Alligator mississippiensis: one gene and its partners. The protein of the gene in region 2 interacts with the protein of the main gene of each other region in a biochemical or structural test. Links are inferred from orthologs where the notes say so. Each region holds a gene or a part of one and is shown on either strand. Other genes may lie near its edges. The genes, in order: CYSLTR2, PDZK1, CRHR1 and SDK2.

Region 1 (7,652 bases), about 150 Mb from region 2:
GAAATAATTTATTGTATTTTGCTAGGGTCAGAAGTCCTGGACTCTAAAAAAAAAAAAAAAAAGAATTAAAATCAGAGTTCTGCAACCTGTTATAAAGTTTGTGTCATGTATCTTTAAAAATATGAGTGAATTAAGCCTGTGTGGTAAGCATAAAAGCTAAGGGAACTGAGGTACAGTGAGGCTAGTACCTTGCTGAAAACCACCCAGCAAGATACTGAGAGCTGCGTATCACCAATAAGATCACAACAGAAAGGAGTAATAGGGAGATTCAAATATTGCCATGGAGAAATGTACCTTTTAACATTTTTAAAAGGGAAAGGGAAGTTGCTGCTTGGGAGTACACATTAGCTGTTGCGATCTAACTCAGAGGTGAAGCAAGGCAACTATGCGGCATGTGGGGTAGCATCAGGCTGCGCTGCCAGCACTGATAGCAGGGTGTGGACAGCCATCAGCTGATGCCCTGGTCACAACCCCTCAATTACATTACCAATCCAACAGTTTGGTAACCTTACATTACCAATCTACATGGTCCTATAATGATACAAGTTACCTAAATCTCTATAACTTTAACCCTGAATGACATGTATCACTACAGAATGATGCAGGCATAACAGCAACAGCAGTTTATATCAGTAGCATTTGATATCAGTAAAATTGTTATATCTGTCTATAGCTGAAGTGAAGATTCATCATAGAACCAACTGGGGAGGGGATACACACCAGGCCTACAGCACAATAGCTAATGCACTTCAGATTAGGTGATTTAGCTGAGACCAGCCACAAAATCTTCCTTGAATTATTGATCCCTCAAGAGTTCTCACAGGTGTTACGTTTATGGTGCATCCAGACAGCCATGGGTCCTGGGGCTATCCCCAGCTGATCCTTAGGAATCAGGTTGGGGCAGCTCCTGGTCCTAAACTAGAACCTGGGACTGCCTGTGCCTGCTTCTGACATTCAGCTGAGGATCAGGCAAGATCAGCCTGGGGGCAACCAGACTTAGATGAATTAAAATGTCTATAAAAAGTTATAGACACTTTGGAAAATTAATAATATGGGTCCTGATTCTGCTCCCTGTCACATCAGAGAGTGGTGGTGGATGGGTTGTTCTCGGCCTGGAAGGAGGTGGGCGGAGGGGTCCCACAGGGTTCGGTCCTTGGACCAGTGTTATTTAATATCTTCCCCAGCGATTTGGACGAGGTTGTGGAGAGTACCCTCTCCAAGTTCACAGATGATACCAAGTTATGGGGCAAAGTTAACACACCGGAGGGCAGGGAGCAGATACCGGCTGGCCTGGACAGATTGGATCAATGGGTGGAATGAAATAGGATGCAGTTCAACAAAGATAAATGTAAGATACTCTACCTAGGAAGGAGGAATCCCCAGCACACCTACAGGTTGGGGGATGACCTCCTCAGCAGCTCAGAGGCTGAGAGGGATCTTGGAGTCATAACTGACTCCAAGATGAACATGAGCTGGCAGTGTAACGAGGCCATCAACAAACTAGCGGAGAGTAGATTTAGGTTAGACGTTAGGAAGAATTTTTTTACAGTAAGGATGGCCAGAATCTGGAACGGGCTTCCAAGAGAGGTGGTACTATCACCTAACTTGGAGGTCTTCAACAGGAGGCTTGACAGTCACCTGGCTGGGGTCATCTGACCTCAGTCTTCTTTCCTGCCAGGGGCAAGGGGTTGGACACGATGATCCATTGTGGTCCCTTCTGACTCTATAATCTATGAATCAGACCCACACCAGTATAACATACTCTTTTATTTGTAACTTACATATGCCAGTGAAATGAGACCAGAATCTAACCTGGAACCATTAAATAATATTGAAAATTGCATGGCCAATCCCACTAAATACACACAAATCAGCCACAAAACAAAGATTACCTAGCAATCTATAACCTCAAGTCCTCAGTTAAGTAAAGAACTAGATCTTAAAGCAACCATCTACTAAAACAAGGTTAAGATTCCTTAGCCTGACAATGTAAAATATATTTCTGTTATATTTTAAGAGAAATAGATTATGACACAGCAGTATTTATATTGGATATGAAAAAAGCAAATTCTCTAGTCTGATTTTAAGAAATGCAGAACATTCACAATCCCAGCTACATTAAATGTACCTGCAAGTGCACAGAAATTCTGAAACACTGAACTCTCTATACCAATGAGGACTTGTCATAATACATCTTTTTAAATGATTTTCTTGATACAAAATACCTTCTCTGCTGTTTAAACCATATATTTTTCTCCAAACAGTTTTCTATGGGATTTCAAGTTTGCCATTAGACTAGCAATGTGTTATTATCTATGTTATATTACAGGCATCAGCTACTGCCCTTTCAGAAAGCCAGATGTACGGACATTGGACAAAAAATGAAGCTCTGATTCACTTTGTCCTGTGAATGTTATATTTCAGTTCAGGATGAGAATTGCCAAACAGTTACTTTCCTTTATTGTTGGTTTGGAATTAGCATTGATTTAAGCTGAACTGTGCAGAGACAGGACATTTTATTCACCCTCACGCACACCTTTTAATGAATTGGTAATTTTGTAAACAAAGATTCCAGTTGATACAATCCGTACTTTGCGCCTAGCAAGAAAATTAAATTCATTCACTCAGATTTTTGGTAAACTACCATTAGTTTATTATCTTTCATGTTTCAAAATATTTGTAATTATAGAAAACCACCTTGATGTCCTTTCTTAAGGAGAAAAGAACCTTATTTAATAAACACCTAATATTTCCAGCAGCTAGAAGACCTCTCGTAAGTAACAGGGGGGAAAGTAGGAGGGGCCTTAGTTACTGTTAATAATCTTTATCAACTTAAATACTGAACTAAAAAAAATTACAAACTTGTCCTACCTTAGTATGTGTAGCTTTCAGTTAATTCAGTACATTAGTTCCTTCTTCAGCTTTTGCTGTTCAAAACTGCCAGCCTGCTAGTGGAGGGGGGAAAAGAACCTACATCTATTTATATCACAACCACAGCCAATGAAAAGTAAAAGGAAGTCAGTATTTGTTAGCAGAAGTTTTATTTCTTCAGAAAGATATTTTCTTAGGTCAAGAAAAGGCATTTGCTCCCATACTACATATATCTCTTGTTCAAAAAAATATCAAAAAAGGCTCTGCAGCCACGTAATATATCTAGAAACTTTTTCTCAACTACTCTCATTTCTATCTATAGACTTCAATAATCAAACCAGTAAATTGTTGGAGTACCATAAAATAATTAAAAAATACTTTCCCTGGGAAAATATTCTATTTTCCCAGTGGGGTGCTGGGAAGAGATGGCCTCCACCTCAATCCACTGGGGAGGAGGCTCTTCTTAGCGAGACTGGCTGACCAACTCGACCGGGCTTTAAACTGAGCCCACCAGGGAAGGGGGGGATTACCACCACTGCAAGCCCACTGGGCAGTTTCTGTAAACCCAGCAGGCTAAGGCACTCAAGGGAACCCACCCCTACGGCAGCCCCAGAGCAATCTGTAGGAAAGGCAAGGACCCCCAATGGGACACTTATTTGCCTGTACACCAATGCCAGGAGCCTGGGGAACAAACAGGAGGAACTGGTCCTCCTGCTAAACCAAAAGGATTACAATCTCATAGGGATAACGGAGACCTGGTGGGACTCCACCTATGACTGGGCCACAGGCATAGATAGCTATACCTTGTACAGGAGAGATCATGCGGACAAAAGGGGCGGTGGAGTAGCTCTTTATGTCAAGGAAAGATATGCATCCCTGAAAGCTGACATTAGCACCCAGGAGGGAAGATTGGAGACTCTCTGTGTCAAAATGGGTGGCGAAAAAGGCATAGGGGTCACAATGGTGGGGGTCTACTACAGATCTCTTAGCCAGGATCAAGAGCTTGACCAGGAATTCGCCAGGGAACTAGCTAAGGCTTCACACTCCCAGTGCATGGTTGTCATGGGAGATTTCAAATACCCTGACATCTTGTGGGAAGAGCACTCGGCCAAATCCGAATGGTCACAAAGCTTCCTCATGTGCATGGATGAGCTCTATCTGACTCAAGAAGTCTATGGACTGATGAGAGGCAGAGCTCTGCTCAACCTGGTACTGGCAACAGGGATGACTTAATCAGTGACCTAATGATCGAAGGGAAGCTGGGAGACAGTGATCATGAGTTGATCACCTTCACCATCTGCCTTAAAGCAGGCAAGCCAGTCAGCAAAGCAGAAGTCCTCGACTTCAGGAAAGCTGACTTTGACAAGCTCAGGAGGCTTGCTGGCGTGGCCCTAAGAGACCACGACCCAAAGTGAAGGGGAGTTCAGGAAGAGTGGTTGCTCCTCAAGGGAGCAATCCTGAAAGCACAAGCAATGTCTATCCCATCTAGGGGGAAAGGCAGCAAAAGGGCACAGCAGCCCCCCTGGGTCTGCAGGGAACTAGTGGACCTCCTGAGACTAAAAGGAAAGGCCTATTAAGGATGGAAGGCTGGATCCACCCCAAAGGAGGAGTACTCTGCACTGGTCTGGACCTGCAGGGAGCGAACCAGGAAAGCCAAGGCTGCAACTGAACTCCAACTGGCTACACGTATCAAGGACAATAAAAAGTCATTTTTTAGATATGTGGGGAGCCAGAGGAAAAGCAAAGGTAACATTGCACCCGAGCTAAACCATATTGGTCAACTGACAACTGACACCCAGGAAAAAGCCAACCTGCTCAATGGGTATTTTGTGTTGGTTTTTCACCAGCCCCAAGGGACGGCCTTGCTCAATATGGTATGGGACAGCCAGGGTGAGAGAGAGCTGTTACCCTTCATCAGTGTTGACCATGTGAAGGAACACCTTGAGAGGCTGGACACCTTCAAGTCAGCTGGCCCAGACAGCTTACACCCCAGGGTACGTAAGGAGCTGGCAGGCATCATAGCTCAGCCGCTGGCACGGATCTTTGAGAACTCGTGGTGTTCAGGCAAAGTGCCTGAAGATTAGAAGAAGTCCAATGTGGTGCCTATCTTCAAGAAAGGAAGGAAAGTAGATCCGGGGAACTACAGGTCCATCAGCCTGACCTCCATCCCCGGGAAGATCTTGGAGAAAATCATCAAAGAGAGCATTCTTGACTAACTGGCTGAAGGCAACTTCTTGTGGGATAGCCATCATGGGTTTGTTGCAGATAGGGCTTGCCTGACCAATCTCATCTCCTTCTACGACCAGGTGACATACCACCTGGACAAGGGAGAAGAGATTGACATTATATATCTTGAATTTAAAAAAGCTTTCAATCTGGTATCCTATAATCATCTTAGTAGTAGTTGGCAGAAGTCAATCATTGTGGTGCGCCATGACCAGTGGGGTCCCCCAAGGCTCTATCCTTGGGCCTATCCTTTTCAACATCTTCATTAATGATGTGGACATTGGTGTCGGAAAAGGACAGGATGGTGATCCAGGCTGGCCTTGACAGGCTTGGAAAATGGGTGGATGAAAACCTGATGGCCTTCAACTCTGAAAAATGCAAGGTACTCCACCTTGGGAAGAAAAACCTGCAGCATGCTTATAGGCTTGGCAGTACTATGCTCGCTAGCACCACGGTCGAAAGGGACTTGCGGGTCATGACTGACCACAAGATGAATATGAGCCACCAATGTGATGTTGCAGCCGGCAAAGCGAGCAAAACTCTGGCTTGCATCCATGGATGCTTCTCTAGCAAATCCCAAAATGTCATCCTCCCGCTGTACTCAGCCTTGGTGAGGCTGCAGCTGGAGTACTGTATCCAATTCTGGGCTCCAAAATTTAAAAAGGATGTGGAGAAGCTTGAGAGAGTCCAGAGGAGAGCCACACACATGATCAGAGGGCAGGAAAACAGGCCTTATGATGAGAGGTTGAGAGCCATGGGACTTTTCAGCTTGGAAAAGTGCAGGCTCAGGGGGAACTGGTGGCTGCCTATAAGTATATAAGGGGTGTACATCAGGATCTGGGGGAATGCCTGTTCACCAGAGCACCCCATGGGATGACAAGGTCAAATGGTCACAAACTTCTCCAAGACTGTTTCAGGCTGGACATAAGGAAGAACTTATTTACAGTCCGAGCCCCCAAGGCCTGGAACAGACTGCCACCAGAGATGGTGCAAGCATCTACTCTGGATTCCTTTAAGAGTCAACTGGACATTTATGTTGCTGGGATCCTGTGACCCCAGCTGACTTCCTGCCCCTGGGGTCGGGGACTGGACTTGATGATCTTCTGAGGTCCCTTCCAGCCCTAATGTCTATGAAATCTATGAAATGAAAAGAAAACATTAGGGTACATTTCCAAATCATTTCACCACTAATAGCATGTGGTCAACTTGCTGGAATTAGCAATGTTGGGAAACCAACCACATAGCCAACTGCAGAAGATGCATCAGGCACTTTGGCACCTAACTGCACACTGGTCCTTAGGAAATTAGATGCCCAGTTTCTACCATGTTTTAATTGGAGATAGATATCCATTTCTCTCAGACTCTTTGAAAAATCTCAGTCATAATCAACTAGTTTACCATTTTCTGTTGCCTTGATGGTAGCTCTCAGTTACACAATGGTTCCATAATATTGCTTTTCCAGATAAAAGGGTCTTAGAATGGGCAAAAATAATCTTCTGAGAACACTCCATAGGCTGGTGGCTCCCTGGGCATTGTACAGCTTGTGTCAAAACTGCTCACACACCCCATAAGAGGATGAGTTGAACAGTTGGTTTTGCAAGTCCTGTAACAGGGGCCCCTAACCTCTCTTACTCATTTGAGAAGGGTGGCATTACATAGCTGCAGAGCCACAGGCAGCAGCTCTAGAGGGCTGCAAGCCGCAGGTTGTAAACTGCAGGCCTCAAGAGCTGGGACCTGCAAGCTGCAGGCATCAAAGACAAGCCTAGTAACTACCTAAAAGGAGCCCCTGTCTCATATGTTTGCAGATGGCACCAAGCTAGGGGGAGTAATAGATATGCTGGAAGGTAGGGTTAGGATTCAGAGGGTGTATCTACAATTGTTGCTATGGCAATATTGTGACTGCACTGTGATTTAGTACTTCCAAAAGGAAGTACTAAATCACAGTGCAGTAACAGCTCATACTGAGTCATACGTGTGACGCGCATTTATTTTTAGCAGCTACTTCACTGTTGTGGTGCACTTTAGTGGGGGAGCGTGTTGCTATGCCAAAATAGCTGTTGGTCACATGTAAACACCCACGGATGCTAGGTCATGGTAGCGCATTGCTACAGCAATGTAGTATCACATGTAGACATGTCCAGAAAGACCTAGACAAATTGGAGGATTGGACCTAAAGAAATCTCATGAGGTTCAATAAAGACAAGTGCAAAGTCCTGCAATTGGGATTCAAAAAATCTCATGCACTGGTACAGGCTGGGGGCTGACTGGCTGAGCAGCAGCTCTGCGAAAACGGACCTGGGTTACAGTGGACAATAAACAGAATATGATCCAACAATGTTCCCTTGTTGCCAAGAAGGCTAACAGTATGCTGGGCTACATTAGCAGAAGCGTTGCCAGCAGATCAAGGAAAGTGATTATTCCCTTTCTATTCAGCACTGGTGAGGCCACATTTGGAGTACTGTGTTCAGTTTTGGGCACCCCACTACAAAAAGGATGTGGACAAATTGAAGAGTCCAGCAGAGGGCAATGCAAATGGTGAGGGGGCTGGGGCATGT
Region 2 (7,181 bases):
CCTATTTGTGACAACTTTTGCTTCAAGGCCCACCATATTTGAAGCCAGCAGACAAACAGGCTGGGAAATTGAAAACATGTACCACTCTAATCCATAACAAAAGATAGGTTTGCCATGTTGGAGCCAGGTCACAGTGACTAGCTGCAGAGACCTTGTGATTTCTGGTTTTGAGGCATCCGGGGCATGTCCAAATTAAGATGCTGGTAAATGATCAAATTAAGATGCGTGCATTTGATGGGTTTGTTGGAACAAAGGAATATGCTGACAGAACAGAATGTGGACAGTACGATGACCACAGGGAGACCAATCAATGATGCCCAGAAATGGAGAGTCAGCAGAGGAGAGAGAGACTACAAAAGGAAGGAATACAAAAAGAGCAGCAAAGGGTTCCTGAGGTGGGATTATGAGGCTACCATGGACAGGGGGCATATCACCAGCCCATCTCACCCACCTCAGTGTGGGGGGAATGGGTGGGAGTGGGTCTCCAGGCTGCTGACATCCAAGAAAACCACAGGGTCAAGCTTGCGTGCTGGCCAGACGTACCTCCCCTCTGTGACAACCCTAGGACTGGTAGATCTAGAATTGGGAGGTAGGAGAGGTGTGTATTTTGTTTGCCTTGCCTGTATTATTCTTGTATACTATCATTGTGTATCAATAAAATTTGTCAATTATTGGATAAAAGGAAGTCCTGGTTGGTATGAGGGTTTGGGTCCACTCAGATTAAGATATCTGGGTCATAAATCCAATGCCAACAATTGGCACCTATTTACAAAGCACCTTTCTCTGGCCAAGTTCAATGTCTGGTTCTCCATACCCAAGCATTGTCTCCACAAATGATACGCTTACTTGGCCAAAAAAGGACTTGATGATTTTTCATTTCCCTTTCTGCTGCTTATGGAGCAAGACTGAGGGGTCTACTAGTAATTTGGATGTTCAAGACCACTATCCTACCTACTGAATCAGAATATTTTATGCATGAGACGACTTATGGAATCCTCAGATTCCAGCTAGTTCATTGCTGAATATTTTAGCAGAAACAGGCAAATAAATATGCTAATCCTAAATTACCTCTTTGGAAGGTAATAGTGTCTGTCTGGAATGTTTCTTTAGCTTGTTGATGTAGCCATGTGGCAGGGACAGCTAGTTCTTTTGCATACTTGGCTATGAATACCACTACTAGGCTGAATAGTACACTATCTCTTTGGGTGCCTGGCTATTTTAGAGAGTTATGTCATGAAAAGGCAGGTTTAAGGTACAGAAAGCAAGCAGAGAAAGCTGCTTCTCTAGGGAAGGCGTCTCAAGCAATCCTGCCAAAGAACCACATTGATAAATATGTCCATGGGATGAAGTGGTGGCTAATTTGGACAATGTAGGCTCTCTGGAAGTTCAGGCAATAATGAGTCGATAATCTATCGGGCTTCAGCAAAAATGGACTTTCTTCATCCTCTCTTTACTAGCAGGAATCTGTGAGATGACCACGGAAAGCTGTGTTGGAGAGATTATACATTAATCACAGCCTAGGCCGATAAAGGCCATCTAATCACCCATTGTAAAACTTTCATAATCACTGCCTTTCACTCTTTATCTTGTGGCTGATGTACACAGGAACACTTACTATGAGGATCTGGCACACAGTTCACTTCAGGCTCTTGATCACATGTTTGCCTTTGAATATACTCTGTGACCACTAGCAGAAAACAACCCATGTCCACAGAGCCCATGAACTTCTGAGCATAGAGAATTTCATCAGAGGCAAAGGGAGTTTGACTCTGGAGCACGATTAGATTACTATGTTGTACAGATGGTCTGGCCTTGGGAAATTGTGGTGCTAACGACAGCTCTTTCAAACCCCCCCCCCCCCCCCCCAATATTTCTAAGAATCACAGATACGTTGAGGGAAGTATCCCGCAAAGTCCAGCACCAGACAAGTTCTGGCTGTGGACTCACCACTCCAAATTTTTAACTATATGATTGATATCCCCCAGAAATTGGATTCCTACACCCATGCACCCACATACATAGACATGCATGCATGCATGTGTAAATACACACCAAGATTATTACAGTCCCTTCCCCTCCCCTGTTGGTAGAAGGGTGTGTGTGGGTCAGCTAGGCTGTCAAAAGTATCTGAAGCACAGACACTTCAGAAGAAGTTTAGAAGGATAAAGGAAGCTTGGTAGCTTGGTGCTCCCCCACTGTCAAGAGAGAAAGAGTAACTTAATATTCTACAATGCCTCCAGTCTATAACGCTTACACCACAGGGGATGTTAAGACTGAAGGAAGTACTGCTGCACCCATTCCCTCTATTCTTTTTAGCTTTTTCCTCAGGGTCTATTCAGAGAGTTCATCTTGACAGAGGTTCTGCTCTGCTCTTTAGCCCATCAACTGTAAAGAGCAACATCCTCTGTTATGTAGAAACACACAATTTACCTATTTCAGTGGAGCTTACTCCTGAAACCAGTGGGCTACATTGATTAAAATTGAAGGTCATAGCAGTCTGTCCGCTGAACACTAGGAATGAGCATTGGTGCTTGAAATCAAAGAAAAACCCCAATGTAGACAAAGCTTACACAATCAGGTGGAGGGGAAGGAAAATTCCAAAGACAAATAGAAATGCCATTCTCAGTGCAGGGAAGCCTTACATGCATGGTACATGGTGGAATCTGCTTTGTAACAAGAAGGAGATTTGGAGGATAGTGAGCAGTGAAGAAGAAAAGGAAATTCCTACCTGTGTAAGAGCTCTATCCTCAGGAATGCTCTGCAGCAGTCTCTCCTGGTGGTTGTAACTGTAGGCACAGCTGGACTTTGGTAGAGCAAAGGTTGATTTAAAAGATGATTTATTTAACTGAGTTTCACTGCATAGGTTATCTACTTGATAACCTGCCTTGGGCCAGCCTGCTGAGCTACAAAGTGCTTCTCCCCTCTCAGCAGCTTTGAATTCCACTCCATGTTCCACTGATTATTACACCAGCAAACTCGGGTTTCTCCAGGAGTGGGTCCAAGACAAGCCTGATCTTTGAGCTTTCCCAGAGAGACAATGAAAATAAGGATCAGGGAAATGTCAACCTGACTGATGGGTGAATGCAGATATATACGTATATGTGCTATATATAGCAAACTTATCTAGACCTTGCATAGGCACTCTAAGTGAGTTTGCAAGGCAGATTGTGGCTAGAAATCAATGTTATTTGTATTACTGCAGCACCTAAATGTCCTAACGAAGACTGTAGCCCCACAGTATTAGGCACTGCAGGAAAAAACATAGTCATAGTGCCTGCCCCAGAGACCTACAATTTAACATAGAAGGAAGACAAAGGGTGGGAAGGAAGCAAGAGGCCCAGCAAAGTGCTTTCAGCAGGAGGACAATAGAAAGCCTGATCAAGGTCAATGGTAGAGCTGGGAATAGGATCCAAGTCCTCTGACTGCCAGTCACTTTATTATGAAGCCCCCGGGGACTGCACAACAGTTGAGGTAATGTGGTGTTGTCATAATGCAGCTTCATTTGATATTCCCTCCATGAGCAGGCTCCATCAGCTTCGTGGGTACTGGAGATGTGTTACAGACTAGTAATTGCTTTAAGAACAGTAATTTAAGCCTATGTAGATGTTCCAGCGAAGTCAGAAGAGAGGGCCAATGTTTGTAGGTAGATTCCAGAAGGGTCAGAATCCATGGAGAAGAGCCTGGCACCTGAGAGGGGGGCTTGGGATACCCTTTTCCCAGAAGGAAAATTCCATACCTGGGAATGGGGTTGTGAATACCCTTTGTGACTGGACAGCAGTCGGTCTCAAAGGCAGGCAAGAGACTGGGTGGGGGTTCTTGTGTAATAGGCCAATGCAATAAGGGTAAAGTTCTTTGGAGAGAATGAGTCAGCAGCTGCAAGCATTGGAGAAAGGACCTCTACGTGGCTCAGAGCACTTGTCAGTGTGGTCTGCGTGAGAGGCCCTCCACTGTGTCTGAAAGCTTTTAATGTTCAGCATGGCCTACCCCATGTGCTCAGAAATGATGAGATTGGCCCCCAAATCATGAAATTGACTTAAAAAATCATAAAGCAGGACTTTTATCGTTTGCTTTTCTGATTTCTGAGTCATTTAGGGCATGTTCTTAAGCACTGTTGCACATCTGATGTCTAGACCCTTAAAAAGCACAGCTCATGTAATCATACGCCCCCGGGGAGCTGGGTTTGTGGTCACTTAAGGCCTGTTATGCTCCATCTCATGCTTATTTCTGTTGCAGCAGAGGTGAGTGTGGGCATTTCTGCACCCTGGGCAGGGGTGGCTTGTGGGTCAGCATTAGTGGCAATGCTGCCAGCAGCAGCGTTGGCTGGGCTGCTGTTTTTGCAACCCACCCCATAACTCAACCTCCCCCTATGTATCACTCAGCTATGTTACTGCATTGCAGCTGTGTTCTCTTTGTCACATTATTAACATTTGGGGAGTAACTACTTTAAAATAAGCATGTGTTTTCTCCACTTAGGAACTCCTGCTGGAATCAGATGCAAGCTCGGAGCAAACTCTGTAAAGCTTATCTGTGCTACCTAAGGAGTTATCTGTTTACAAGCCATCATTCCAGATTTATAGCAGGGATAAACTATAACTCTGCCAATTCAACTGTATGCTGTAGTGCCTAACTGAGCTAAGGTTACAGTATCATATTTGCAGGGTCTCTCAAGGGAAGAAATTTTTGTTTGATTTTAGGATCTTGGTGCCAATCCTAGGTTTTACTAAGCATACAGTAAGGTGGTGCAGAAGACTGTGAGTAAAATAACCTTTGGCACTTCTATAGCACTTCCATCCCAATGAGAAATTGTAATTATTGCTGCCCCCATTGTTCAAATGGGGAAGCAGACAAACATAGAGATAGGCTTAGAAACTGTGCAGAAACACATCCTGGCTTGTTAATAGACACAATGAAGCACAAAAGATTACAGATCATTAGAAAAACAAGCAGATTCCCCTATGCAATACAGCTCAGTCTAGCTAACGCTGAAGGCTGAAGTGCCCATCTCTATTTAGCCAGGTAGGCAGTTCATGATTTATCCTTTCCGACTTGGGCTAGAGACAGTACACATAAACCAGTTTAAATGCTCAGAAACTGGCTTAAATCTGTAACAGAACAGGCATTCAGTGGACGTTAACCAGTTTCAAAATGGCCGAAATCAGTTTGAGATAAACGTGGTTGAATGTAGACTTAACTGATTTGGCTCAAACCAGTTTATGCAATGTCTGTCTCAGACCCCTTCCTGGTTTAACTTAAACCAGAGTCCCCCAGCATCCCAGCATGCTCTCTGGGCTGCCTTCTCTGCTCCAGGCTAGCAGGGCTGACCCCACTGCTTCCCAGCCAGGGCAGGGGTAGGGGTCTGGCCAGAGAATGGTTTAATTCCCCCCTCTCTGTCCTACCAACAGGTCTGCCAGGAGCTCCCACCTCACTGCTGCTGCACCATGGCCCTGAGGCAGAGTGGGGCAGGAAGTGGGGTTAGTTTCCCCTCTATCCTCAATGGCAGCCAGGTTTTCCCACCATTGGTGCCATGCTCACTCCCTGTGGCAGAATAAGTCCCCGGCTGTCCCCTCAGCTGAATGCGAGAGGGAGGGGGAATAACCTCTGTCCCTGCCCACCCCACCAAGGGACCCTGCTGGCCGGTGTCTAGCCCTGCCCCCTCCCTGCCGCTGCAGTGGGAGTGGGCAGAGCCCTTAATGCGGGCAGCAGCCCCTGTCATGTCAGTGTGAGCCTCATGGGCAACTGGTACCACCTTAGTCCGGGGGGGGGCACATGGCACCCCAGTGACCAGTCAGCGGGGGGACTGAGCGGGGGGACGTCCTCTTGCAGCCAATCTCACTGACTGGGAGGGTGGGGGTCAGTGAGCCATGGTGCTCCCACTCCCCTGCCAGCGCTCGTGGGGGGGCACCAGCATTCCTGCCTGCTTCCCCTGCCTGTCACCTAAGCAGCAAGCATGGCTGGTCAGGGGCTGCACCAGTGCTCTCAGGGGGTGCACGTGCACCCCTGTGCACCCCCTACATGTCACCACTGATGAGCCCCTTCCCAGTGGGGGCTCTGCACTGCGGGGTGGGCAGAGCTGCAGTGGGCTGCCTTCCCAGCAGGGGGGCCACACTGTAGGGCAAGGAAAGCTGCTGTGGACCATGGCAATGGCAGCGCTGTGGGGGCTTAGGGGGCTCTGGCCCCTTCCGGACCCTGGTGCTGCCACATGCAGCCTGCTGCAGCTCTGCCCACGCCATAGTGCAGTGCCCCTGCCTGGAAGGGCTTGCACTCCCTGACATTATGACAGGGGCTGCTGCCCCCATCAAGGGCCCTGCCCCCTTCCACTGCAGTCGTGGGATGGGGGTATGGCCAGAAGTTGGCTGGCAGGGCCCCTTGAAGGGGGGCAGGTAGGGAGGGGGGTTAGTCCCCCTCCCTCCGGTGTCCAGTGGAGGGGACAGCAGGGGGCTTGTTCCGCCTCAGAAAGGGAGCGCAGCACTGACCGCAGGCAGATCTGGCTGCCACTTTAGTTAGAGGGGAGACTAACCCCACTTCCTGGCCCCATCTGTCTCAGGGGCCATTGTGCCCTGCTGCTGCAGCAGCAATGAGGGAGTGCCTAGCAGACCTGGATCAGGGCCCTGCTGGTGGGACAGGGAATGGGGAATGAAATCCCTCTCTGGCCAGTTCAGCCCAGGCTGGCCATGGCCCCGCAGCATAGCTTCCCTGCAGTCGAGAATGTGCTCTACCACCTCCTGGCGCCTGGCCTGAGCAACTGCAGGCATGTGCCCTCAGTTCCTCAGTCCACTGGGAATGTCTATCCTGTTACAAACTGGTTCAACCTGGGCAGGTTAGATTAACCTGCAAGGGTTGAATTAATTCAGGCTCTGGCATTTTGGATGTCTGTCCCCAGCCTTGCAGATACACCTGGTCTCTTCTTGTCAGGGAAGACAGCTCAGTCACTTCCCCTTCTGTACAAAGCATCTGGTTTGTTTTCCTGCTTGGGAGCCTTTTCCAGCTCTGCTTCGCCAGTTCTGTCTCTTCATCTCCTTTCTAGTAACTTCCCACATTTTCCAGGCAAGAGGAAGAAGAACCAGTAGTGCTTTCCAGGTACCCACAGTATGCTTCAGGACCTCAGTCCCCAAAGAGGATTAATGTTTTCAGTTTTCTTGCCCAGGTGAAATGTTTCTTTTTTCCAAAATCCCTGATTTCTG
Region 3 (7,508 bases), on a different chromosome or scaffold from region 2:
TGGCTTGGTTACCAGTAACATTCGAGCTACAGCAGCACAGAGCTTAACGCAGACTGCAAAACTCATGCAGGAAGGGGGATAAATTAGTTCACGATGAGAAATTTGCTTCTGTGCATACACTGTGATAGGGACCCGAGTTAGCTCCTCTCAATCTAGCTGGGTGTGTGACCACATGCCATGCAGCTGTTGATGCAACCACAATATAGACAATCAAGACTTACAGTACAGATGATGTTTTATAGATAAAATCTATATTATATATCATCTCTATTATATAAAAATATAGATTTCATCTATAAAACATATAATCTCTACTACGAGTCCTGATTGCCTTTTCCTCTAGACCAATATGGCTACAACCTGGATACGACACACAGATATCAAATTTTAGCCAATTAAAAAAAAATAAAAAATGAAATCTTCATCTTTTCCCAAGCAGGAAGCCACTGTGACCACCTGAAACCTGAGCCTTTGTTTCAAGGTAATTTGCATCATTGCAGATCCTCACAGGAGGCGAGAGGCTTCATACCAGCTATGAACTGACTGCCCAGAGGAGTTTTCCATCTATGGAGTCCTCTATGAAATATGAACTTTAATTTCTACCCAAGAGAACTTTTACAGTTTTTTCTCCAATGCCTGATGAATGGTGTTTGTGCCCGAAAGCTTGCAATTAAAGAATTTTTTTTTGCAAAAATCTTGTTTGTGTGATAAAAGATATAAATCTCTACTACGAGTTCTGATTGCCTTTTCCTCTAGAACAATATGGCTACAACCTGGATGCCTACCACAACACAGACACATTCTTTGTGTTTTCTTCAATGCCACCTATGCCTATGGTAATGGAGTGACTTCCAAGCAAGACTGGGAGTACTAGGAAAGTACCCAGTGGCTTTCATGGAGCCTCAGGAACATCTGCACTTCTAGCAAGGTTTTAATTAAAAGCAAATAATTGTTAAATTAATCTACAAGTTGTTCCTGTGTTTACCTTTCCTTTATGTTTTCTGGTGTGGGGCTAGTTAGTGCAGGTGAGACTGGTCATACAGTCATTCGGTATCAGTTGTATTTTTTTGTCTGGATGAACTCAAACTCAGTCCACGGAGGTGGCACCAGGCATGTATCTCTTGAGGAGACCCCATCAGAAGTGGTTCTAGACTACTCCCAGCTGCAGAGCAAGAGGGTCACATATTTTTTTCCCAAACCTGGCAAAGACTTGAGCAGCACAAGCAGCCGTATGTGCCTGGTTTGCCATGAAGACCATAGAGAACTGTTAACTCTACCTAGACACTAGGCAAGGGTAGCAAGCTCCTGGTCTTTCTGCACAGAGAGGCCATCCCCAATAGCAACTATGGAAGGTGCACACTCGAATGGGCAGAGAAAACTAGTGTCTAGGGTGGCCCATTGGAAGTTATCTGAAGTGCAGTACAGTTCAGATAACCACCAAGACCCTAGATATGGAGGTGCCTTGATATATCATTTTCTCAGTGAGCTTGGTTTCCTCTCATCTCTATTTTCACAGACAGTACTAGAAATATTGGTACCTAATATGCCCATTTTTAACTGATCTCAGTTTAACAAAATGCTCAGGATAAAATTCTGCAGGACTGGCTTCTGGCCAAAATTAATTAGTATTTGGAAGAAGGGATGGGGAAAGGATACACCTATTTAATGGAGACAAAAGGTCCAAATACAAGATTATGGACATGCATACCCTATGCACAAGCAGCAATCTCCATCATTTTATTAACAGAAAGCAGAACCACCACCATAGAATTTAATTTTGAAAAACTCCATGAATGCAGTATTTCAGCCACACAGATAAGACAAATGAACAGATAAGACAAATGAAACAAAGTCAAGAAGCGTCCAAAAGCGATGTTATACGAATGTTAACACTTACTGGCAAATACTGGCCCTTACGTAGGGCTTTTTACCGTGTTTTTCTGTTAAAAACATGCAGCTAAATGCTGCTTCTTGTTCATGTTGTAAAATGGATAGCCTCAGACATCCCCGCAAGATGCAAAACACAAGGTAGTAAAGGTGCTAAGGGAGCTTGAACCTCTGCATTTTCTGTCATTTTAACTATGCAGATAGTACCACTTCAGTCTTCCAGAACTGACATGTCTTTGGCAACTCATTTTTTTAAAAACAAAGAGCCAACATTTTTCAAGCCCATCTCTGCCTTCGTTTAAAAAAAAAAAAAAAAAAAGTGTTCAGCATTTGAGTAAGACCCTGTATTTGGCAACTCCCCCAAAATCCTTGGCTCTGTGCATTTTCTCAACAGAAACCCTAAACTTTTCAGGAGGGGGGGAAACAATCCTTGCCCAACCAGCGCAGATATTTGCAGCTGACAGAACTGGAAGATTCAAGTTGCAGTCAAAGCACTTGAAACCAAAGGGCATTTTCCTCGGAAAGCCTTTGAATGTAGCAACGGGACTGGCAAGGAGGGTAGGTAGCAAAGCACTGGAGCAGAGACACGGGGGGAATCGCTCAAGTCTCGGAGATTTGTAAGACCTGAACTTGGACTTGGGTGGGATGATCTAGCTGGGGCCGGTCCTGCTTGCGGCAAGGGGTTGAACGAGGTGTCTCTTCCAACTGTCATGTGCTGCGAGCTCTTGCTCGCCCATTCATTGCAGCCAGGACTCCCCCAGCCCGCTCTCCTGGCTGCCCGGGCGAGAGGACAGGAGCGGGGCAGGGGCAGGAGAGCTGGGACGGCCTCGCCCCCGCTGCCCGTCTCCTCTGGCGGCCGGGGGAGGGCAAGAAGCCGCCCGGACCTTGCCCCCGGCCACGGCGGCGCGCATCCCGGGAGCCGAGCGCACCGGCTGCCCCGGCCTGGGCTTGCTCCTTCCTGAAAGAAAGTCAGCGCGGGGAGCAGCTTACCTGGAGGAGGAGGAGGAGAAGGAAGAGGCCGGGCCGGGTGCAGGGCACCATCCTGCGGCTTCTCGTGCCACGCTCCCGGAGGTAGGGGTCGGGCTGACGAGCGGTGCGGCGCGGCCCCCGCCTGCTTTTATCCGCCCGCCGCCGCCGCCGCCGCGCAGCTCCCCGCGCCGCTCCTCCCCCGAGCCCCGCGCCGGCCCCGGCCCGCGCCCCGAGCCCCCGCCGCCGGCCGGGCAGGGGGCGGGAGCCGCTGGGGCAGCGCCCGAGACCGGCCCGCCCCTCCTCAGGGCAGCCGGCAGGACTCCTGCCTGCCCTGGCCTGGAGCAAGCCCGCCCCGCAGCCTCCTGCCCTCTCAGTCAGAGATGTTCGGGTCCTTGGTAGGTCATGGAGTCGGCCCCCCTGCCCCGGGCGGGACCCGGCCAGGTGCCTGTCCAGTCTCCTCTTGAAGAGGTCGGGGCGAGCACCACCTCCCTTGGGAGCACATCCCAGACTCTGGCCACCCTGCCCTGCCCGTGAAGAAGTTCTTCCTGATGTCCAAGCTAAAGCTGCTCTCCGTGGGTTTTGTGGCCATCCGGGTCTCCTATTCCCTGCTGCCCTCCCCTGATGAATTATATAGGCCTGTTGCAAGCCCCCAGGCACCTAGGGGGTCACCTGCCAGCCTCTTGGTGGGCCTGGGCATCACCTGTCCCCAAGGCCCTTTACATCCCTCTGAGCTCCAAGGATGAGGTCCAGCCCCGCCGTGGACATCCGCTCCCCGGCAGGTGCTGCCCCTTCCCGTTCTGAAGAGCTGCGGCAGTGGGAGGGGGGATACATTGGGGCAGCGCAGCCAAGAGTCCTGGCTTTCTCCTGTCCTGCTGTAATGGTTGTGAACTCCTCCAAGACCGTTTTACACTGGACATAAGGAAAAACTTCTTTATGGTCCAAGCCCCCGGGGCCTGGAACAGACTCCCTCGGGAGGTGGTGCGAGCACCTCCCCTGGACTCTTTTAAGAAACGTTTGCATGCTTATCTTGCTGGGATCCTTTGGCCCTAGCTGACTTCCTGCCCCTTGGGCAGGGGTCTGGACTCGATGATCCTCCAGGGTCCCTTCCAGCTCGAATGTATGAAATCTATAAAACCATTGGGCCCCTCTCGCCTCTCCAGCAGGCCTTGGGAAGTGTGCCTGCAGCATGGCACAGAGAGGGCACCTGGCCCAGGGGGTGCTGGCTGTGTGCCTCCTGTCACTTGCCCACAGAATGAAGTCAGTGCCCAGCCGTCTCTGCGCCTGAATCCTGCTGTTCCTGGGCCTGCTATAATTTCCCAAATTGATTCTGAAACAAAGCTGATGGAGGCATCTGCCCAGCACTTTTGGACTGAGTAATTTCCGGTAGAAATGGGTAGAGGGGAGACCCGACTCCATTATCTTCAAGCAGTGGGTACTAATGCTGCCCCTTGCTATGCCAAGATATTGCTGCCTTGCCCTGGTACCATCCAGCTCTCTGTGGCACCCCTTGGGTGGCGATGCTGCCTGCCGTGGTACAGCTAGGTTTGGGCCCTTAGACGGTAGCATTTTTCTTCTGGCAGCATCTCCTCTACTAGGATCTGGGGCTGTCCTGCCTGGTGAGGAAAGCCCTCTAAGATTTTCTGCAGTAATGCTGCCACCACTGTGCTAGTGCAGGGCTAGAGGGCAGACACCTGCAGGCACTACACAGACTTTGTACAAGCATTGCTTTGGGCTTGAAGGAGCCAGCCCCAGGGAAGGCAGTTTTAAATGTACCTGCTGGGATGATTCAGCAGGAGGAAAACCAACCAGTCAGCAAGATTTTTTTTTTTTAAATTAGTAATGAGAAGTCAAGGTGAGTAAGTGTGCCAGAAACTGCACAGGAGTGAATGGGAAACCTTCCTGGAGGTTTAGTTCAGTCATGTTGCTTTGAGCAGGGGGACAGCCTGCCCTGCACCTAACTGCAAGTGACCACTCGGACCTCCCTTCTGAGCACTTCCACTGTGGGTGTAATTGAACTGAAGTCAATCCCTTATACTCCAAAAACTGGGGAGTCCTCCCCCTACACCCTGTTGCAACAACTACCTGATGCTATGGGTTTTGTCTTTGATGCAACGCATTGTTTCTGATAAAAGTCTTGTGTGGCAGCATGTAGCATGGGCAGGATGGATCCTAATCCTTTCCAATCCTGCTCCTGCCAATCCTTGTGATCTGGAACAACACAGGGGTGCAAAGGACTCTTGACAGGTAAACAGAAGGTCAGTGCTCTTTGATTTATTCATGCCGATAGTCTGACGCTTGCCCACAGGCCCTGACCCTTTTCCTGCCTCTTCAACTGAGGAAAAATGATGTCCTGCCAACGTCTTTTAAAATCTGATTGTCCAGCCCCAGTTAGATTTCCATAGCAACTCGTCTCTTTCAAACACGAAGGCTGAGGCTCTAACGCATGGCTTTCCAGGCATTTCAGCCCAGGTGAGTGCCTCCGTAGATTTGTATGGGACCCCCGAGCGATGCTCAGCTGTGTACCAGCCCATTCCCTGAGGCTTGCTAAGCCCTTTGCTGATGATAGGCTCAACCACTGCTCTCCCCAAGAGCTTTCATCAGGATTATCAGCTTGGTTTTGCTTAAGGGAGAGCAGAACACAGGGAAGGGAAGTTGCTATCTCAGAAAGCACGTGGTATGGAGCCAGGACCCCTTACAGCGCAAGATGTCTGTTTGACTCCTCTTTCCCCAATGACATAATTAGCCTCCCACCCCCATGGGCCGGGAAGTCCTGCCATGGCAATAGCTAGAGGGCCAGTGAGACTAAATTGAGATCCTCAAGGAAACTAAGCCAAACTCCCTCGTGGAGCAGGACCTAGGCACCTTGTTTCCTTTGCAGGATCTTAGCCTAGGTGCCAGAGCCAAGGTCATGCAGCAAAGAGCTGAACACCAGTTCTCAAAGTCCTGGATCACTTGGCAAGCCTGCCTTTTTACTCTTCCTGCTGGACCAAACTTCCCCCTCCTCCACTCAGGGCCAGGAGATATTGGATTCTCTTCTCCTGGCTAGTAATTCTCAGGAAATGACTGCACTTCTTGCAACTTTGCGCTAGGTTCCTGAGGTCCCAATTCCTCCTCCCTACTCTCAAGCAGAGGTATTTTTAGAGGGAGAGGAACTTAACGCTTAATGTTGGGGATTGTCTATGCTTCTGGTGGCTGTCTATGCTTCTTGTTCTACTAGGGCTGCTGAGGAGCTGGGAGGAGGTTCAGGAGGAGTCCCAGGGCTGGGAGGAGCCGTGTGTGCATAACACTTTAAAGCCGGCTAAATGCTTTTGCATCGCTTTAATGGTGTCGGTGTTTGCATGCCTCGGCAGTGTATTGAACGTGAATTCTAGCTGCTGTAGGAAATTTGGTGGTGTAATATGCCTTAAATGACTTGGGGCGCAGCAAACTAAAACTCCTCGAAGGAGTTTTAGTTTGCTGCCCCTACAACCATGGAGCAAAGCACTGGGCTCCATGCAGTTCCACAGCTCTGTAGGAAGCCCTGCAGGCAGCCTGGCAGCAGCCCGGTGAGCCTGATCTTATTTTTTCCCCACTCCTGGAGCCCGCCTGCCTGGCTGAGCTGCAGGGGCCTGGTGCTTTCCTCCCTGGCTGCGGTGCCCCCCGGGACTGCCACCTGGTGGGGGTGGGAAGCCGGGGAGCCACCCCTGCTGTGGAGGGAAGCACCAGCCCTCTCCCCAATGCACACACAGCACAGGGACCGCTCTGCCTGCTGGCAGCTCGCCCTCCCCTCCCTTCGGGAGAGCCAGGTAAATCAGTGGGGTGTGTGCTAATCTAAGCACTCTAGAGGCTCTTTAGGCAGCATGCCCCTTTGTCTACCTCTAGGTCTAAGGGTACTATTCTTACCTAACTTTCCAGTAGGATTTTAGTAGAAAAGGGACAGTTGATAGGGTGGTAGGGGAGACACAGATGCAGCAGCCTGGGGAAAACTTGTAGATAGAACTCGACTCTCCTCACCCTAGTTTCATGGACTTCGGTGGATGATTTCCTGAGAATCAGGCCTGAAGTCTTCACATTCTGTCAAGAAAGCAAATAGGTGCTAAGAGTTGCTTTGACAGATGTTATTTGAAACCCCAAAGAAACCAAACATGTGATCCTATGGCCCCATATCCAGGACAAGATGATTTCCTAGTCAGATTCCAAAGTGGGTAATGACATGCCACCTACCTGGACTGTGTGTCTGCATTTTCAACCAGATGCAGAATTTTTCTACACCTCTCTGAGTAAATCTTTCAGTTTTTTTGAGCACAGATAAAACACCTCTGTTCCACTCCAGAGTTTGTTGCATTTCAGGAACAAGCAAAGTAATTCCTGTATATATTTTGGGCTCATTGGCATCATGCAAGTTATTTATTTGGGTTCCTGAAGAGCATATTATATTGGCACTTCCATTAAAAGGAATGATACAAAGGAAAATTTTGAGACATTATCAAATGGGTAATGGATAAAAGGGCACCAGCAGCTGCTTATCCTTTGCCTGTGCCCTGAAAGGACAGATGCCCTTCTCTGCATGCAAAGGAAGGAGAGGAATTCTAGTCACAAAAGTAGGTGGGCACTCAAATCCTCTCCATGGCTTTCTCCCAGCTGGTTTCAGTCGCTCCCTGCTCTTCTTGCTG
Region 4 (7,001 bases), on a different chromosome or scaffold from region 2:
CATTGCCCCCAAAACATGAAGTTTCCTGTGATCTGTCACGGCTGCGGAGAGACTCTCGGCCCGAGGGAGATGCCAGGAGTCCGAGGGCAGACGGGCAAGGTGGCGGTGGCTTGAAAACCACCTTGTGACTAAGGCAATCTGGCTTCTGCCCGCTGGGTATGTGAGGCTGGCTGTGTGGGCTGTGATACCCCGAGAGACCCCATGGAGCGGGGGAAGCATGCCAAGAGCTCAGGGCTGCGGTGAGTGCCCTTGGAAGAGCCAGAGCAGTCCCTCTGTCTTCGTTAGGAGACTGCCTGGCTCTGTAGCTCTCTGTGAAGCGTTCTGCCTTCGTGCAGCGCCTGGGATGGGGGGTCGCAGGCATCATCTTCTCACCCTACAGATGCCCCAGCCTTCCTCTGCCCTGGGCAGGAGCTCCCCACATCCCCCCAGCCTCACTGGGCCTCTGGCTGGTGCTGCCCTAATCCATTTCTGCTGCAAAAGGCATCCCAGCACTAGGGATATTTCCAACCGAGCAATGAATAAATGAAGAAGCCAGAGCGATTTCAGCTTAACTGGACTTGACTTTTGCCCCCCAGGGCTCTGAGATCAAAGCGCGCTGCCGAGGGCCTTGGCAAATTGCGCCGGGAGCTCTTCGGGAAGGCATTTCCCATGCCCGGGCCCTGCTCGGCTTGGCTTTGTGCAGGGCAAAGAGTGACAATATCCCTTTCTCTCCCCCAGACCGACTCGGACTGGCAGAAACAGGTTCGGTCGGGGAGGGGCAGTGCACGGAGCAACGGGTAATTTCCACCCGCGGGAACCCAGCGGCAAGTAAATGGCACTGCTGGGTGCTGAGTGCTCCTGGCTGGTAATGGAGCCCCGCTGGGTACCGAACAACCCGGGAAAGGAGTTTGGGTTGCTGATGGCCAGGCAGCGTTTTCACTGGACGTCGGACACCATCATGGTGCAGTGAAGCATCCCGTGGCCGGCCTCGCCCAAGTCCTCCTTGGTCTTGTCTCTTATCCTCCCGAGGGGAAAGGACGGGAGTTGGAGGTGGACACCTCTTGCCATTGCCCCGTTACCCTCTGCCAAGGCAGACCCCAAAGGGCTCGGAGGGGAAGGCGTTTCCATTGTAGACGGAGCCTTTTTCTCTGCCGGAACTGGCCTCGGTCTCCAAGCAGATGTAATTCAAGCCCGGGGAAGTATTTTTGGGTTTGCCTTTGATGCGCCCTCTTCAAGCAAGAGGCCAAATAACAGCGTTGAGACCTGCAAATAGCTCTTCGTCAGCCGGTCCACCACATCCCACAGGCTGGTATTATGGGTTACGTGACAGCTACCCAGTCATTAGACTGGGCTGCTTTTCTTTCCACACCCCATGCCCAGGAAGGCCTTGCATCGTCAACCAAGCTGCTTTGTGTGTTTGCTCCCAGGAGCCTCAGCGTGGGATCCAGAGGGATCTTATGGGGTGCGAGAACAGTAAATGGATCCCTTTTACATACTTGACTGGGGCTGGAGCCTTTTTCTGTGGCTTCACAGAGACGATTTCTAGAGGCAGGAAAAGAAACTCTGGAAAATCCACGTATGCAAGAGGCTCCTGGAAACACCTGCATCTTCCCCGTGCAGGGCTGTTCCCATTTTAAACCAGGTGAAACTGTTGCATGCTGTTGGTGTGTGCATACGTGTGCAACATACTGCAATATCAGCTACATCAAATGTCATTAGTAGGGCAGGCAGGATGCGGGGCAGAGTTGAAGGGTGGCGGTGGCGTTTTGGGGTCACCCAAGACGAGAAGGAGAGAGGGTGACTTGCAGAGCTTGTGTGGGAAGGGAGAAGAGTGTGTGCCTCTATCTGCCTGCTAGTGGATAACAGTCTGCTACTGCTGCCAGCCACAAAGAACTAGCTCGCATAGTTCGCATAGCTTGCATAGTTCAGGCCTGTCGCCCTGCAGAGAGCTGGTGGGCCCGGCACGGCTAATGAGACCCCTGCCCCAAAAGCCTGGCATTCTCTCTGATTTCGGGAGCTGTTTCCACATTCGTGGGACTGGGGAGAGGCAAAAGCCTGCCCCGGTAACTCCAGGCTCGGTCTTTCCTGCTGTTCAAAGTATGGGCTCTGTCGCTCTGACATCTGACCGCTGCTTCCAGGGTCACGGAGGAGGGCGCGTGCTCAGCAGCACGAAGCCTTTGCTACAAAACCAGAACGCGGTCCGGTCTGCCCGGCCGCCATGGGCCACGGGGGTGCCGGCAGACACCGATAACAAAGGGCTGGCTCCTCGGTGGGATGAATTGCAATAAATCCCCATAGTCACTAGGGGCAGGCGGCGGATTCTGAACCCGGGAGAGTTTTTCCAGGCCCCGGCCTTGCAAAGCAGGAGGCGCGTGATCCGGACCGTGGGCAGGCAGAAAGTGAGGCATGGGCATTGGGTGTGTGGGGTCCCCCCTTGTTCCTGGGCTAACGCACCTCTGCTGGCTCCGCAGGCCCCCCGGAGAGATGAGGAGGGATTGGAGCCCCTCTTGGTCCTGTCCTCGCTGCTAAAGAGCCCCTGGGGAATTTGCTGAGCTGTGGTGGGGGTGCGTGGTGCCGGGCCCAGGCAGCCCCACAAGATGCACCACCGACACTCCTTTCTATACCGGTTATTATTCCTCACCGTTAAAATTTTACACACGCGTTCCAACTTTTACTACCCGGGCAGCTCATAAACCTTATTTTAAAGGATTCTCTCCGTGCGTGTGTCCCCCAGGGAAATTCAGTTTGCTCATTTCTTCCTGGATATGCCCTGCTTGGAGCAGGAGGCAGGACTAGATGAGCTGCTCAGCCCTCGTGGTCTAGGATTGTCTGTGCTGCAACCTCTCCTGTTTCGCTTTCCCTCTCCTTTGGATCCAGCTGTCTGATACAAGATCTTGCTCTAGCAGAGGCCTCACCGCGGTGTCTGGGCACCTGGCAGCCCACCCCTCGTTTCTTCTCACAGCCCCTGGCCCGGCAGGCAGGCGGCGCAGTTGTTCCCTGCGGCACAGAGGACGCCGAAGCATGTGGATGAAGTGACTCACCTAAGGTCACACAAGAAAATCTGTGCCAGAGAAAGGAATTAGCTCCTAGTTTCTCAGGGGAGCTCGCTAAGCACCGGGCGTCCTTCGTTGCAGACCCACGCTGGGCCTCTCTGGTCCCATCTGATGGGCAATTCTGCTATTGCAGGGCCAGGCATGTGCTGCTTCTCCAATCCAGGCAGCAAGGGGGTTTATACAAAAGGGTTTCGTCTTCCTTGACACGCACACGTACGTACAGTCCCTTACACACACCCAGACACATGCATGCACATACGCTCCCCTACACACCCACACACGCTTCCCATTACATTGAAGGCTCACACCATCCCTTCCTCCACACATGACTGGGGCGGGCTTGCAACCCCTCCCGGGGCTCCCGGCCCCCTTTCCACTCAGCTCCCTTGCCCTGCCCAGAGCCCCCCATGAATCCAGCCCTGCTGTGCAAGGCGCTGTACAAACCAGCTGCACCACCACCCCTCTCCCCCACAGAGGTTCCCAGCCCCCACGGGCTATCCCCGGTGCCCAGGAGTCACCTCCCTAGCTCCCAGGGGTTATCTCCCCAGGTCTTTAGGGTTATCCCCAGCCCCCTGGGGTTACATCCCCAAACCCCATGGGCTATCCCCAGTGCCCAGGAGTCATCTCCAGCCTCCAGGGGTTATCTCTCTAGCTCCCAGGGGTTACCTCCAGTCCCCACGGGTTATCCCCAGCTCCCAGCGATTATCCCCAGTGCCCAGGAATGATCCCCCGCCCCCTGGGGTTATATCCCCGACCCCCAGGAGTTACCCCCAGCACCCAGGAGTTACCCCCAACCCCCCAGGGTTATATCCCTGACCCCCAGGAGTTATCCCCAGCACCCAGGAGTTACCTCCAACCCCCCAGGGTTATATCCCCGACCCACAGGAGTTATCCCCAGACGCCGGGGTTACATCCCCGACCCCCAGGAGCTATCCCCAGACGCCGGGGGTGACCCGCAGCGCCCCGGGGTACTTGGGGGCCCCGCCCCGCCCCGCCCTGCCAGCCTCAGTGTGCCGCTCCGAGCAAGGGGCGCGGGCGGCCGCCGCCGGCTCCGGGCGCTTTCCAAGCGGCGGCCACCGGGGAGCGCTCTGCGCCGCCGCCGCCGCCTCCGCCTCCGCCGCTCCCGCCCCGGCGGCGCCGCGCTCCGCTCCGCTCCGCTCCGCTCCCTGCGCTCCTCACTCGGCGGCGGAGCCCGGCGCGGGCGGCAGCGCCGGGCGGAGCGGGGAGCCGGCCCGGCCCGACCCGACCTCCCTCGCACGGATTACGGCGCCGCCGCTCCGCGAAGTTGCCTCCGCCGGCGCCGCTCCCGGGACCATGGGGCCGGCGCGGATCCTGCTCGGCGCAGCCCTCGCCTCCCTCCTCGCCCTGCGGCGCGCCCGGGCGCAAGGTACCGCCGGGGCACGGGCGCGGGCGCGGGCGCGGGCGCGGGGAAGTTTGCAGCCGGGCCGGGGGGGGAGCCCGGGCCGCCCGGGACTGAGCACAAAGGGATCCCGGCTCCGAGCGTGCCATTGTGCGGCGGGACGTGGCAGCCGGGCTGGGCTGGGCTGGGCTGGGCTGGAGCAACATGTGCTCGGACCCCGCCGCCTCGCTGCATCCTGCCCCGCCATCGTTCCTGCCCTATGCCATCCTACTCCTGCATCCTGCCCCGCCATCGTTCCTGCCCCGTGCCATCCTGCCCCTACATCATTTCTGCCCCAGCATCCTGCCCCGTGCCATCCTGCCCCTGCATCCTGCCCTATGCCATGCTGCCGTTCCTGCTATGCATCCTACCCCATGCCATCCTGCCCCAGCATTATTCCAGCCATGCATCCTGCCTCTGGTATCGTTCTTGCCATGCATCCCACCCCATGCCATCCCCTCCCAGCATCATTCTTGCCATGCATCCTGCCTCAGTGGTATTCCTGCCATGCCATCCTGCCCCCAGCATCATTCCTGCCATGCACCCAGCCCTGGCATCATTCCCGCCCCATGCCATCCTGCCTCCAGCATGATTCCTGCCATGCCCCCAACCCCAGCATTTCTTGCCATGTATCCTGCCCCCAGCATGATTCCCGCCATGCCCCCACCCCTGGCATTTCTTGCCATGCCATCCTGTCCTGGCATGGTTCCTGCCATGCGCCCTGTGCCTGCCTCCCGGCAGGATGGGACCCCCATGTCCCCAGAGCAAGGAGGCTGCGCCGGGTTTCTGGCTGGTTACAGGTGGGCAAGTTCCTAGCACCGGCTTTGTTTGTTGCCTCTGCCGTGCCGTGTTGCTGGGAGAGCTGCCCCCTTCCCCAGCGGTCCCAGGCCTGCCCCGGTCCCTGGCACCCTTCAGCCCCCTTTCCCTGCTGGAGAAAAAAATCGCCTGGCTTTTGCAAGCATCGGCAGTGACCTGGAAAGGGGTAATTCTCCTCCGTGGGAAGCAGCTTCTCCAGCCCAACCCTTGTGTTCGGAGGTTTTTTGGAGAGGGGACGTGGATAGCATGGGATTAAAAAAAGGAAAGAAAATGAAGCCATCGGGAAAAGATGTCCCTGAGAGCTGGTGTTTTTCCAGTCTGGACCTGAAGAAGCCACTTGCTTTGCATTAAGGAATGGGCTTTCACTATTAACACCCCCCCCCTCCCCTTTTTCCAACCCCACTTCCCACCAGAGCTCCCTGCTTCCAAAGTTTTTTATCCAGCGCCCTTCTGGAAGCTGCCCTAATATTTGGTTAGTTATCCAAACAGCTGCTTTCAATGCCTGGAGCAGCTTTTACAGTGCTTGTATCTCTCCCCAGCACCTTACTCCCTCTCTCCTGTATATCTCCAGACCTGTCAAGATTAACAATACAGCCAGGAGAGATTTATATGGGGAAGGCAGGAACACTTGGCCAGCCGAAAGCTTATTACGGTTCTCGGGGAAGGGGGTGGGAAGAGAGGAGCAACGCCGTGGCCCCGGCGCTGAACTTTATTTATTCTTGCCCAGGGTGTGGGCAGAGCTGCCGGCTGGGCAATAGCCCCGCACTCGGTCTGGAGAGAAGCGTCTGCCCCAAATTTGCACTCCCAGATACAGGCTGAATCTTCCAGGGACCCCCGAGATGCAGGCAGAGGGGAGGGAAGCGCAGCTATAAATATATATAATGGGGCAGGTGGGTTTGGCAGTAAAATGCTGCATAATCTCTCCAGGTAGGTGGATAGTAAATGCCTCTGCATCGCTTTTTTTAGGCGGTTGGATTCCTGGCTCCTCGCGCATTGCTTTTTGCTAAGATTAACCCTGTGGGCGCGCGCGCGTGCGTGTGCATTTGTGCGCGGGTATGTGTGCAAGGTTTGCCCTGGCTGAAGTTTTCCAGCCCCTCCAGGCAGAGAGCCGGTGTCGGGACTTGCCCACCGGTTGCTGGAAAAGCCGCACGCTTTGACTGTGCAAATGCCAGATGCCAGGGTGTGTCCCAGCCCGCCGGTCTGCCCTTCCGGCCTGCCTTCCCCTTCCCTGCCCAGGCTGGGGTTGGCCTCGGCGGCGTGGTAGGTTGCGGTAATGTGAGTAAATTAGAGCTGCAGTTTAAAGGGGATTCAAGGCAGCACAGAGTGAGCTAATGCTGCGGGGCAGCGCGAGACCCTGCGATAAGCTAATCGCCTCCAGGATGCTTATGTGCTGTGCGGACTATTTTCGTCTGCCTTTATCTGAATGAGATGTATAAATAGTTGCCTGTTTCTCTAAGGTGCGGCGTTTCATTCGCCGGCGCCAGCCGATATGGGCTGCTGGGACTCTGCAAAGGCCGTGCCGGAGGGGTCCTGGGGCAGAAGGAAGCGCTGCTCTTTTAGACTTTAATTAGTGCCGAGACCCAAGATGCGCAGATGCTCTTTGCTTAACCACCCAGAGCTGGGGAGCGGAGGGGCGGTCTCCTGGGCTCCCCTCCGGCCTGGCACAACTTTATTTGGTGGAGCCGCGCCTGCAAAATGCTTCGAAATCATAGCGGCGAGGTCTCTCTCCTTGCTGGGCGAGGGCCGAGTGGGGC

Evidence for each region.
Region 1: the proteins of PDZK1 (region 2) and CYSLTR2 interact in a test that uses a peptide from one of them, tested with the Homo sapiens proteins (2 studies listed by IntAct, with this or other methods). The link is inferred for Alligator mississippiensis from reciprocal best matches to the Homo sapiens genes PDZK1 and CYSLTR2.
Region 3: the proteins of PDZK1 (region 2) and CRHR1 form a complex in vitro, tested with the Homo sapiens proteins (2 studies listed by BioGRID and IntAct, with this or other methods). The link is inferred for Alligator mississippiensis from reciprocal best matches to the Homo sapiens genes PDZK1 and CRHR1.
Region 4: the proteins of PDZK1 (region 2) and SDK2 interact in a test that uses a peptide from one of them, tested with the Homo sapiens proteins (2 studies listed by IntAct, with this or other methods). The link is inferred for Alligator mississippiensis from reciprocal best matches to the Homo sapiens genes PDZK1 and SDK2.

Annotation. Positions count from the first base shown.
Region 1 is NC_081824.1:413,727,839-413,735,490, reverse strand, and holds the start of CYSLTR2 (cysteinyl leukotriene receptor 2), read right to left. Parts: upstream 3,014-7,652; 5' UTR 2,872-3,013; intron 44-2,871; 5' UTR 1-43. UniProt on the Homo sapiens protein: Receptor for cysteinyl leukotrienes. The response is mediated via a G-protein that activates a phosphatidylinositol-calcium second messenger system.
Region 2 is NC_081824.1:268,601,642-268,608,822, forward strand, and holds the start of PDZK1 (Na(+)/H(+) exchange regulatory cofactor NHE-RF3), read right to left. Parts: upstream 3,022-7,181; 5' UTR 2,729-3,021; intron 1-2,728. UniProt on the Homo sapiens protein: A scaffold protein that connects plasma membrane proteins and regulatory components, regulating their surface expression in epithelial cells apical domains.
Region 3 is NC_081827.1:156,222,975-156,230,482, reverse strand, and holds the start of CRHR1 (corticotropin-releasing factor receptor 1), read right to left. Parts: upstream 3,007-7,508; 5' UTR 2,929-3,006; coding exon 2,878-2,928; intron 1-2,877.
Region 4 is NC_081831.1:2,115,642-2,122,642, forward strand, and holds the start of SDK2 (protein sidekick-2), read left to right. Parts: upstream 1-3,984; 5' UTR 3,985-4,346; coding exon 4,347-4,419; intron 4,420-7,001.